3 linked regions of the Macaca fascicularis genome follow. The protein of the gene in region 1 interacts with the protein of each later gene in a pairwise test. Links are inferred from orthologs where the notes say so. Each region holds a gene or a part of one and is shown on either strand. Other genes may lie near its edges. The genes, in order: AGR2, NUP62CL and FABP2.

Region 1 (4,175 bases):
ACCTAACTTTTGTTATAAGATACTGTTGTAATTGTTCTGTTTTATTATTAGCTCTTGTTAATCTCTTATTGTGCTTAATTTATAATTTCGACTTTATCATAGATATATATGTATAGGAAAAAACATAGCATATGTAGTGTTTGGTACTCATCTGTGGTTTCAGGCATCCACTGAGGGTCATGGACCATAACCCCCACAGATAATGGGGGAACTACTGTAATACACCTAACCTAATGATCACCACAGCTGAACCTACCTTAAATGTGCTCAGAACACTCACATTAGCTTACGGTTGGGAAAAGACATCCAACACAAAGCCCATTTTATAGTAAACTGTTGACTATCTCAAGTAATTTTTATGAATACTGTATTGGAAGTAAAAACCAGAATGGCTATATGGATACTTGAAATACAGTTTCTACTGAATGTGTATTCCTTTTGCACCATCATAAAGTCAAAAAATTAAGTCAAACTACTGTAAGTTGGGACTGTCTGTATATAGTATGGATAGCTGTCTATTGATCCACATAGATACAGACAAAAATATAAAGATCTCTATAGATATAGAGTTATCTATATAGATATACATCTATATAGAAATAATATAGTTATATTTTAAGAAAATAGATGTATATACTCTAGTAGCTAAGGAAATTTACATTTACGTTTTTTGGAGACAAGGTCTCACTCTGTTGCCCAGGCTGGAGTGCAGTGGTACAATCTTGGCTCACTGCAACCTCCACCTTCTGGGTTCAAGTGATCCTCCCTCCTCAGCCTCCTAAGGAGCTAGGACTACAGGCACGTGCCACCATACTTGGCTATGTTTTTGTATTTTTTAGTAGAGATAGACTTTTGTCATGTTGCCCAGGCTGGTCTCAAATTCCTGACCTCAAGTGATCCTCCTGCCTTGGCCTCCCAAAGTGCTGGGATTACAGGAGTGAGCCACCACACCTAGCCGATATCTTAGTTAAATTACTTTTTCTTTCTGGTATTCCACAGTTGATTCCCAGGAAAAGCTAGAGCCTATGAACAGGAAAATAAATGACAAGATAAGTTTAGTGAGTGAGGAGGTGGGGAGGGAGCAAAGTGAGTTGCTCTAGCAAGTCACTAAGGTTGTCCACGGGGCTGTAACATGGAAGGCTGGAGACTTGGGATTCTGATAAAACCAAACACTGAAAGTGCTAAAAAGGAAATATGAAACCACAGCACCTAACTCTAGTATTGGTGAATGGTTTTGAATGAAGTCAAATAAACTCTGCAAGGAATCACTATTGTTAAGCGGGAAGTTTTTCATAATCTAGTATCTTGAGTGGAAACCTTTGCTAAGCATTAGCTGATTTGTTTTTAAAGGTGTTGCTAAGTTACCAGGTCGAAATGACATTTTGTATTTAACTGACCAATTATTAACTAATTCATAGTACATAAGCACAAAATGTCTTACTCAGAAAAGATGTAAGCAAAAATCAGGGATATACTTTGTTCATTTTCTATACCCAAAAAGATGTGGAAATGCCAATAACTTTTGTCTTCTAGAGTTTTGCAATAACAACCTAAGTGTACACTGTAAGTCAACAATTCTCAGCCTTCTTTGTATAAAGACTTCTTTTTAATGTTAAAAAAATCAAGAACTTTTACATGAGAATAATTATACTTTTAGAATACTGGTTGGTTCAGAAACAGATGGCAAATAACTTCTTTGAATCTATCAACAAACATTGGATTTTGTCCTTTATTTATAACGGCATCTATGTATATTCTAAAAAATAGTAAATTGATGGTAAAGCATTTTTATTTACTTAGCCCATTTACAGTTCTTGTTTTACAAGTAGCTATTAGGACCTTGCAATATCTCCAAAGGTTACAGGTTGGAACTATTGATATATTGCTTGTGTTTTACGGCAGGATGACTCAAGGAAGGCTAATATAACTCCTGCTGTACAAACATCCTGCTCCGGGGTGACTTTCTGAGATTCACTCCACTGAGTTTTTGTAATATGAATAGATTCTGCTGTGCAAATTTCCTGCATAAACCACCTCAAAGCACAATTCCAACCATGGAAAATACTGATAATTTGGAGACACACAGACACGCACACATAGGGACACACACACACACACACACACACACACACACTATGTGAAGCCAGCACTTTTTACTCGTCACCATATCCCTGTCTTCTCATCTTTAGCAAAGAATGAACTTGCAAGACATTTTAGTGTCCGTGTTTGTAAATGTTTCAGAAAAGCAACCAGCCCTCTCCTTGAACAGCCTATCCCATGAATTTAAAGATTGCAGAGGCAACAAGAATGTCTTTGCACCAAAAAGAGAAAGAAAACTGTTTTCTGATTTGCAATAATATATTCCAAGCGGACAATCCGGGCTGAGGTGTCATAGTGGAGATGCGTATGGGGCTTTTCTTTAGCCTGTGGGAAAGAAAGCTTTAGATGGTGACAGACGAAAATCCCTGGACCCTGTTCCAGGCTTGAAAAATCCTAGGATTCACCTACTCTTGGAAATTTTGTTTCCCAAAGGAGAAAGCCTTTCTCTGAACTAACTCAGGAACATCACACTGTGCCAGCTCTAGCCAAAGAAAGGCCCCAGTAAGCCTTTGGTGGAAATTCCATATTTCCCTTCCAAATTCTACTTCATTGCCCTTGGAAACTTGCAGTTCTCTGTTGCTTGATTGCCTACAACTTTATATAGCAATCAGAGGCCAAAATTCACTCCAGCAAGTGCCCATCTAAAGCTGCTGTCAGGAGCCTTACCTGGATTTCCTCACCCACCTGCCTTGTGTGAGCCGGCGGCTAGGATGCGGTCCAAGCTTCTGAGTGTGCCAGCACAGCTGAGTCTCTATTTATGCACCAGGGCACACCTCAATCCCACCCACTAGTGCTGCATTTACTTGTTGCTAACTCAGAAACGAACCTTCTTTTTTCCAAGTGATTATCTTCCTTGGGTTAAAGAGTTCCTTGTTTTTAAAAATAACATTGCAAAAGTAGGCTTTTCAGTATACATGTTTTTAACTATTTGTGAAGTGTATTGTTAAGAGGTTTTGAAACGATGGGCAGAGTGCCAAATCCAGGTAGACTTTGAATGAAGACATTTGATTTGCCTGAAGGCTGATTTGTCTTTATGTGATTGGACGGAGTTTGTAGTTTGTAGATTTTTTTTTTTCTGCCCCGTGGGCAGATTGCCTTTATTTACTTGAAAACACACAAGAGATGATTCACAATTCTGATCCTCACAGTCACATAACCTGCCATACTCCATTATGATAAAAAATTATTTTCTACAATACGTCCCCACTCCTGTCAAAAAAATGCACCCTAACTTCTGCAGGTATGAAAAAAATACAAATCAAGTAACCCATATAATATTTCAAAACTGAGGAAGTATTGGAAAAAAAACAGCCTAATACTGGGAGCTTGTAATAATTACCTTGCCATTGAATGTGTGCAGCAACTTCCCTCCACAGAGTTCAAAGGTATTTTACAGATAATTTCTTACTTAAAGGCAAACTTTCCTGCTACGCAAGCAGGAAGCCATTTACTCCATTTTTTCAGACCTAAAAACTAAGATCTGCAACTAATTTTTTTTTCCACTTAAGATTATTTAATTACTCCCTGAAGATTTTTAAACTGGAATTTAAATTTTCTGTCAGAAAATGTTAATCCTGTATTTTGTTCATGAAGTTGCGTGCAGTCTTTAAAATCTCAGAATGGAGAAAATTTTAACAACAGAAAGTTAACGAATGGGATGCAAGCCCTATATAAATGACTTTTTAAAATGAGTTAAGGTCATAATATTTCAAAAACATTTGCAAGTATGTATATTTTTCCAATAAATCCTTGAATTCTGTGGGCGAAATTGTGATTCTCCAAATACTGAATTTCCTTTCAATTCTAAATGAATTTACAGAAATAATTTCTTCAGGAGTTTGAAAACGATGATTTGAGCAAAATTCTTAAAACTAGCAGGCCCTTATATAGACCCTTGGAATGTTCAATTCCATTCCCTCATTTTACAGATGAATAAATGAATAGCAAAAAATTCATAACTTTTTGAAGGTCTCACAACTAGTTTAGGGCAGAGTTGGGACCAAAGTCTATCAGTCTCTTATTCCCTGAAAGTAACAAGTAGATGGGATTTGGAGTCACGAGATTCCCATCTGAGT
Region 2 (4,079 bases), on another chromosome or scaffold:
TAGAAATCTTGATTGTCAAATTCATACATCCAAGAGGGGCAAAAACTCCCAGCTCAGGTCCAGATCTAGATCTGGCCTTCCTGTTAGGCTTCCTATTGAGCTCACTGTTACGTAAGATACAGTTATAGAAATGATTTTAAATAACCCAAGACATCATGGAATAACTATATTAGCACATCTCACATCTCCCTTTACCTTTTTTTTTTTTTTTTTTTTTTTTTGAGACAGGGTCTTGTTCTGTCACCCAGGCTGGAGTGCAGTGGCGTAATCACAGCTCACTGCAGCCTCAACCTCCCATGCTCAAGCAATCCTCCCACCTCAGCCTCCTGAGTAGCTGGGACCACAGGCACATGGCACCAAGCCTGACTAATTTTTTAATATTTTTTATAGAGATGGGGGCTCCCTATGTTACCCAGGCTGGTCTTGAACTCCTGAGTTCAAGTGATTCTTCTGCCTCAGCCTCCCAAAGTGCTGGGATTACAGGTGTGAGCCATCGCACCTGGCTACATCTCCCTTTTCAAAGCACACATAGTGTCTTATTTTCTGTTGTTGGTTAGTTAGGCTAAGTAAATTATAGCTAACTCATTCTATGAAATATTAGGTTGCTGTTAATAATGCAAAATATAAAGACTATCACAACATGGAAAAAAATTTCCAAAACAATATTAAATAAAAATAACAAAAAAGTACACGAAAAAGGATCACAATCATGTAAAAACATAGGTACATATGGATAATGATAGGAGGGGAACAGAATTATCAGTTATATTATGGTAGCAGAATTGAGTGATTTTTCATCTTTAATTTCTTTCAATGTTGCATTAATAAATTATTTAACCAGTGTTTTAAAACACTCTATATATTATAAAAGAATTAGCTAAACTATATCCATTTTTCATAGCTATAAATCCACAGAAACCTTTGGGTGTATTCTAAAAAATATTTTAGATCTCTCAAGTTTCATTACTTTAAAACCGAATTAGGAGTCAAATTCAGTTGTCTCTGCTTACCGACAGCACGGTCCTGGGAAAGTTACAGAATCTCTCTAATCCTTGTGTTCCTCAGCCACTGAGCTTCTGTATTTCCAACATTGTTCAGGGAAGCCAACTGCTTAAAGATTAATCTCAGATCCTGGACCCATCCCCCACCCCGCCACTTCCTCTACCTGGGGAAAACAGTTCTTAGTATTGGACGCCACCTTGCCAGAGACAGATGAAACCTTGAAGAGTTTATTATATCCCTAAAGATAAATAACATTTGTTCCCCAAGAAGAAAACTAATATTCACTGAACACCTGTGCACCCGACACTGTACCAAGTATTTCACATATGCTATATTGTATACCTTCCTGGGTCCCACTAGACCACAGAACCAATTTCTGGAGGGAGCCAGGGCAATCTGCATCTTAAATAAATTCTTTATTTCAATAAATTTTAAATAAAGTGCACACACAAGTTTGGAAACTAAAGATCTAGGGACAAATCATTAGGGAGTTGTGGTGTACATTTTTTAAAACATAATGGAAATTATCAGAGTATATTGCAGGTAGTAAATGTTAAGTGTTGTTTCTGTAAAAATGGTTGTCCGTTATATATTGTCTACATGTGTACTAGGTCACAATATAAAATTTATTTCTTACTGTTGGTCACAGTCAAAAGGTCTGAAAAACACCGGCTGAGCATTACAGACTTAGAATAATGCACAATGAGGCAGAATAAAAACAAAAAAGCCAGAAAAAGGAGATGGCATAATATCTATAATTTAAGCTCCACAAGTATCTAAAGAATTAGCAAAATGTAAGACACCTAAATTCTGATCATTCACAGTAATAAGGGGAATTAAGGTATTGGTAAGTTGGCTAAAAGGCCAATAACGTTGCTTTAGCCAATAACCTTATTCTATCCCCACGTTTTGTTTACCGTAGATAATAACAAGTAGAATGGACAAATTAATCAAACTTCACTATCCCCTATGCCAGATGGGATGGTCGTTAAGAAATGCATGGTATAAAGAAAGAAAGGAAGCAGTTTAGTTCATTTATAATCAAATTCCAATACCTGAATAACCAAAAGTAACCATTCATTAAAACCATCTGTGGGGTCCTACTGTTGATCATGGCTAATCAGTCCTAAGTACTGTAAATATTTATTACGCCATCCCCCCGCCGCCCCTTTGTTTAAAACCAAGCCACGGAATTTATGGGAAACTAGAGTAACAACTCTATCTCTAAGTGAACCTAAGACAACCAGATTCCCTAGCAGTGGCAAGCGAGCGGCGCGCCTGCTTTTCTCCACTCCAAGGCGGGAAAAGCAGAGCTCCCGGAGCCGCGATTTTCCCTAGAGTGGGAGCGACGCGTAGCTCAAGCCAGTGCCCCACAGGAACCAGGTGGCAGTTGACCAGGTGTTCCCCCGGGAACTTGGGGCCCGGAAGGCTTGCCCACAGAGAAGAATAAAATGCGATCCCACCTGCACACATACAAACACGATCGCACGTGCCAAGCCAGGACGGAAGCACAATACGTGTTTCTGTCGCGTGGGGGAAACGCGAAAGGCGGGGGGCGTGGAGGACGGTAGCAAACCCTTCTCAACCCCCGGCCCACTGCCCCTACCCTTCTGCCCCCGCCTCTCCAGATTGGCTGGAGATCGAGTCCTCAGATCGGGAATTCACGCGCGGGAAAAGCGTAAAAGAGAGCGAAGCGTGCTGACGAACGGGACAAATGAAAACCCCACAAACTTACCTTGGTGGCAGCCGCCGCCGCTCGCTGTCCGGCCCTGAACTATACGAGCAAGCCTCCGAGACTGCGTAGCCGCCAGAGGGGAGGGTCCGGACCTGCTCGAGCCGGAAAGAACCGGCCTCCGCTGTGAGCAGGTTCCCGCTGAAGCGAAGCTAACCCAGACTGAGGCTAAAAGGGGTCGACCTGGTTAACTAGAAAGGGCGACTAGTGACCCTGACCTGGATGCGCTCGGATTGGTCGATTCCAGTGTTGTCTCAGATGAGACTCTTCTATGATTGGCCAGAAAAGTCAAGCGGGAACCCGGAGGTTGGCAGGTGGGGGGCGGGAACAAAACAAAGTTGTTACCCTAGCAACAGAGAGACGCCGCGCTCTCCACAGTCTTTTCGGAGCCTAGCCTGAGACCGGAAAACTGACCAAGGTGAGGAAACTCGAACCTTAGGAGGGGAAAAGACAGGGTCCTCAGATGCCGTGGCTATCAGAAAAACTAGGGAAAACTCTAGATATTCATAACTCTGAGAGATACCCCAAAAAGCCACAACTTGAACAAGGTAGAGGAGACCCGTTCCCTAAATCCCGCTATCCTAGACTCTAGAAGCAGGACGCTGCTTTAACAAAACTCGGTTTTACAGGATGTGAGTGAGAGATGGGTGCTGATCGACTGTCAGAAGGCAAAAATGAACATCTGAAGGTTTCTCAACTGGTCTTCTCTCAACTCTCACATGCACTTATTGATTCTCCCTTCCCATTAATAATGACTAATTTGGGAATGTAAACCATATTCTCTTATAGGAGGATCTGGGTGCTCCAAACTGGAGCAGCCACTGTACCCTTCTGTTTTATATGTGCCACTGTACCCTTCTGTTTTATATGTGCAGGCACGATTTATCCTGGCCTAGCATGCCTTGGTTAGGAAATGTTTTGGGGGATATAACACTTCAGACTGGGGGGAAAAAAATGACCCCAGTACTCACTATGTGAATAATGTCCTTTGTGCGACAACTTGAACTCTGTGGCCTGAGAGTTCCAGTGTTGCTTGGTTAGATAAGCTGAGGAGTCAGAAGTGGTCAGACCTTCACTTGGTGGGCCCGAGTGTACTGTGCAGAGACTACTTGTACCTACAAAACCTACTACTCGCCAAGGGCTGATTGGGAAAGTATTACATGTCGTTTGACTGTAACTGTCAAAAGATGAGGAAGTATGACCAAAAAAATTAAATCTGAGTGAAGGGAGAGAACCCAGTTTGACCAAAGAGGGAGGAGTCATCACTCCTTAAGAGCTTCTTGTGATAAGGATTCAGAACAGAGACTGTATTTTCTAAAGAAATAAAAAAAAATAGGACTCGGGG
Region 3 (4,229 bases), on another chromosome or scaffold:
ACGCTTGTTGGTTTGTAGTCGTTTACATTTTCAGTTAAAATAGGCATTGATCATTTGACATATGTAAGTTCTCTTTAGTAAATAGGCATCAGAAAATAGCTATACAATATTTTTTAAATCAGTAAGATTTATGAGAAAAGAAGTAGTCTGTTTACTGAAGATCTAGCTCAGCAGTGATAAAAATTATTGTTTTGTAGTAATTTTTGCCTTTTGAAAATAGCTATAAATGTTACAACTCACCTGGACTAGTTCATCGCCTATAATTTCTCGGACAGTATTCAGTTCATTTCCATTGTCTGTCCGTTTGAATTTTCCAACAAGTTTATTTCCCTCAAGGCTCCAGGTCCCCTACATAATAATGATGATAACAATAATAGCATTTATTAGGGTCTTACACATGTCAGGCACTGTTCTGAGTTCTGTAGACACAGTTTTTCATTTAATCTTCATGGTGACCCTATGAAATTGATACTGTTATCCTACTTTACAGAAGAGGAGACTGTAAAATGGCCCAGTGATTCACCTAAAGTCACAGTCAGGATTGAACCTAGACCATTGGGCTACAGAGTATGTGTTGATAACCATTATGCTTGTTTTCTTAAATAATTTCCATATGCTGAATTTTAAGGCAGATGAGCAGGGCTTCTTTCTGAATCTTTCATGTTACATATCCAGAAATATAGTCATGGTTAACTTATTAACATGGTTAATAAGTTTCATAGAGAGGTTAACAACTCTGTGCTTGTTTTAATTTGTGTGATTGTGGAACTAATTAAAGAAAGGCATAACTGATAAAACATTCAGTAGTTAAATTGTCATTACAAACATATGTAATTTAAATAGAAAAATGTTGAGGCTAAAAAAGTTTTTAAAAAATTTGTTGAAAATGATGACTTCCTAAAATGTGTTATCTTAAACGTGAAAAGGTACACTCTCAATGACCTGCACTACATCAAAGCTTGCCATTTGGTAACTCACTCATTTATTCGTTTGTCCATTTCTTTTATTATTTCAACATATTAAATTACTATTACAGTTAAGTTACATATTAACTCTAAAAGCTTCTGTTGGTGTACTGTTTAAAAACACAGTTTTGATTTTTTTTATGAATAGGTCTATACTCAGTCATTCAAAAGATATTTTTTCTAATTCTTATTGTTCGATTCAGATTCTTCACAGATGCATATAAAAATAAAAGTGTAATACTTAGATAACCCTGCCAATTTGTGCAATATATAACATAGACAAACTTCATTGGCTTCTTCAGTAAATGAAGGAGACCTGCATTAATTAAACCAACCAATGAAATAGAGCAGAGATCATTTTAATATTGGGTAGAAAAATCAAGAATGCATTGCTCATAAAAAAAATTCTTACACTGAGTTCAGTTCCGTCTGCTAGGTTGTAATTAAAGGTGACACCAAGTTCAAAAACAACTTCAATGTTTCGAAAAGTGCTTGATTCTTTGACTGTGAATTTATTTCCTTCTTGTGTAATTGTCAGCTTCAAATTGTCATGAGCTGCAAGCTTCCTTTTCACTAAATTAACACCTGCAAAAGGTAAGACAATGGAGAAAATAAAGTCAAATCCCATAAGAAGCGTTTATTTTTCCAGGTTATGTTTTGTTTGTTTATTTTGAGGGTGGGAAGAAAACTCGGTAGCATTGCCTTTGCATAAGAGCATTCAGATTGCTTCTATAGAAGTTCAGTTTCAATCAGATCAAGAGAACTGGTTAAAGTTGTTTTTCCAAAACTTGAGAAAAATTAAGTACAGTACAGAATTATAGAATCTTAGAGCTGAACAACTTTAATAAGATTAACAAACTGTTCATTTCAGTGTTAAGTAAATTAAGTTCTAGAAATATCAAATGAAGGATTAAAATGTATATTCATATATTTATGAGGAAGCACATATTTAATTCTACATATACCGTATTCTTTTTTCTTAAATGCCCCTTTGTTTTTCATAGTGGCTTTAAAATTTTGAACTTCATAATTCTCTTTGTTTCTTGTGGCATTTCTGACACAAAAATGAGAAAATTAGCAAATGTTATAGCCAAAATCACTGTAAGACTCTACAAATTTTATAAATTTAAACTTAGAATTCCTAAACTGTAAGCTATAATTGATGCAGATTTTTCTTTTAGGGGAATGACACAAATTTGTTTGCCTATCTTATGTAGTATATGGGCTGCCAGAGTATTGGTATCAATTTATAAATCAGTTAAATTAAGCTTCCCTGAAGAAAATACATAGCTTCTCAAGATTATTCCAAAACTTTGTAAGTTAGAAGAAATAAGAATTAAATCTAACTTATTCAGAGCTATAAATTTTAAGAGAACCTTTTTCCATTACTTTCTTATATGGTCTTTGCTTTTCCATCTCCTAGAATTTAACATTTTCAAATCTGGAAGTTATCATTATACACTGCCATTTTCTTACTGTAAACAACAAAAAAGTCATTTTTCAGTTAAAGAGTGAAGGAAACATATCTGGATCTTTTTGGTGTGTTTCAGAGGACAGCACTCAAAGAATCTTTTCTTCCATTAGTGAGATAGTGGATTCTTCCTAATGTAAGAAGTAAGAATATGATTTCCCTCCTCTGAACATCTTCTGGATCCTCACTACCACATTAGGAGCTATCTGTAAGCTATCTGTTATCTCCTAGAGATTTAGGAGTTAGAAAGAAAAATGTTTGTAAGAAAGCAAAGAATAAGCCACAAAGAAATAAAGTCTTTACCCATTTTTTCCATGAACTTATCATAGTTTTCACTCCGGTCTACCTTCCAAGTGCCATTAAATGCCATGATTTCAGTTGAGTCAGCCTCCAGGCAACTAGAGATTCAGGTCTGTCCTTGGGCAAGAATTTATTATATTTCTTATCTTAGAAGCAACCCTATACTGTGATGTGGAAGTTTAAAGTTCAGGAAATCACCTAACTACTCTATGTCAAGCAATTAATTCTTATTAATTAATAAGAATTCTTATTAATTAATTAATAAGAATTCTTATTAATTAATTCTTAATTAGTTAATTCTCATTCTGTACATTCCTGAGATCTTCTGAAATTCAACTGAATTAAAACATGAGAAGCATACCTATTCTGTCTTCAAGTACAGTTTGTGGGCATACTTATTTCAAGAATTAGAATGCATGCTATCAGAAGATTGTTTTTCTAAGTTCAAAGTGCACACTGTGTTGGAGCTAATATAATTTATAGTGTAAGTCAGATAATATCTGGGAAATGAGACCATGACCTGTCTCTTTTTCATAGCAGCAATTATCTTATAAAGTAAGACTTTATGATGAAATACAGTTGAAAAGTTAGTTAATAAGATTCGTTTTCTAATATGTCTTTTTGCATTGTGTTTAGCATTGCCAGGAGTTTGGATAAATATCGTGGCACTTGGTACAGTGCATGACACGCAATAAGTGCTCATTAATTTTTGTCTTGATCCTGAATGGTGATAGGCCACTGAGCAAAATTTCAAGAGGTACAAATGAGGCTGGATAGTATAAAAACTTGCATAAAAGAATTAGCTTTAAACATCTGCTATGTGCAGAGAGAACAAAATCCGGTTTTAGCTGTGCCATTAATTAAAACCACTCCTTCGTTTCAGTCTCACTGCCTCTCATCCCCAAACCCAGTAGAGTCAGAAGCCACAGCTCAGTATGTATGTGTGTTTAGGGTATAGAGGGTAGCTAGAAAGGTACAAAGAAAAGGTCACCATATCTCTCCTTCCCCTACTTCACGCTGCCAACCTGGAACAGGCCAAGCTTGGGGAGGAAACGTGGTGTGAAGTAAAGAGTTTTAATTACTAGTCTTAAGATGTTTATTACTAAAATGAGTCTATTATTGTGATTGAATGTGACCAGATAACATCTTATTAACTAAGGCTCAGGAAAGAAGCTCTAGGGCTTGCCCAAGATATTACTTAGGGTCCAGGGAAGATAAATCTAACAGATTTGAACAGAACATTGGGGAATAGAATCCCGGTTTTTAAATTTTGGTATTATTTTATATTTTGATTTTTAAAAATCTTTTAAACATTTTTGATATTGTTTGATTTTTTTATTTCGAGTTGCCCACTTTTTATTTTATTAAGTAAGCACTTTAAAAAGCAAACTATTTTCTACTATCTCTATTATTTCGTTAAAAAAGAAAAAGAGTTGCCTGGTGCAGTGTTTCTTGCCTGTAATCCCAGCTATTAGAGAGGCTGAGACAAGAGA

Evidence for each region.
Region 2: the proteins of AGR2 (region 1) and NUP62CL interact in binary tests that used the Homo sapiens proteins (3 or more experiments, as listed by UniProt). The two-hybrid records come from large-scale screens. The link is inferred for Macaca fascicularis from reciprocal best matches to the Homo sapiens genes AGR2 and NUP62CL.
Region 3: the proteins of AGR2 (region 1) and FABP2 interact in binary tests that used the Homo sapiens proteins (3 or more experiments, as listed by UniProt). The two-hybrid records come from large-scale screens. The link is inferred for Macaca fascicularis from reciprocal best matches to the Homo sapiens genes AGR2 and FABP2.

The regions. Positions count from the first base shown.
Region 1 is NC_088377.1:113,397,047-113,401,221, reverse strand, and holds the start of AGR2 (anterior gradient protein 2 homolog), read right to left. Parts: upstream 2,832-4,175; 5' UTR 2,785-2,831; exon of another isoform or gene 2,767-2,784; intron 1-2,766. UniProt on the Homo sapiens protein: Required for MUC2 post-transcriptional synthesis and secretion. May play a role in the production of mucus by intestinal cells. Proto-oncogene that may play a role in cell migration, cell differentiation and cell growth. Promotes cell adhesion.
Region 2 is NC_088395.1:113,778,648-113,782,726, forward strand, and holds the start of NUP62CL (nucleoporin-62 C-terminal-like protein), read right to left. Parts: upstream 2,899-4,079; 5' UTR 2,738-2,898; intron 1-2,737.
Region 3 is NC_088379.1:124,601,846-124,606,074, forward strand, and holds the start of FABP2 (fatty acid-binding protein, intestinal), read right to left. Parts: upstream 2,807-4,229; coding exon 2,740-2,806; intron 1,551-2,739; coding exon 1,378-1,550; intron 349-1,377; coding exon 241-348; intron 1-240. UniProt on the Homo sapiens protein: FABPs are thought to play a role in the intracellular transport of long-chain fatty acids and their acyl-CoA esters. FABP2 is probably involved in triglyceride-rich lipoprotein synthesis.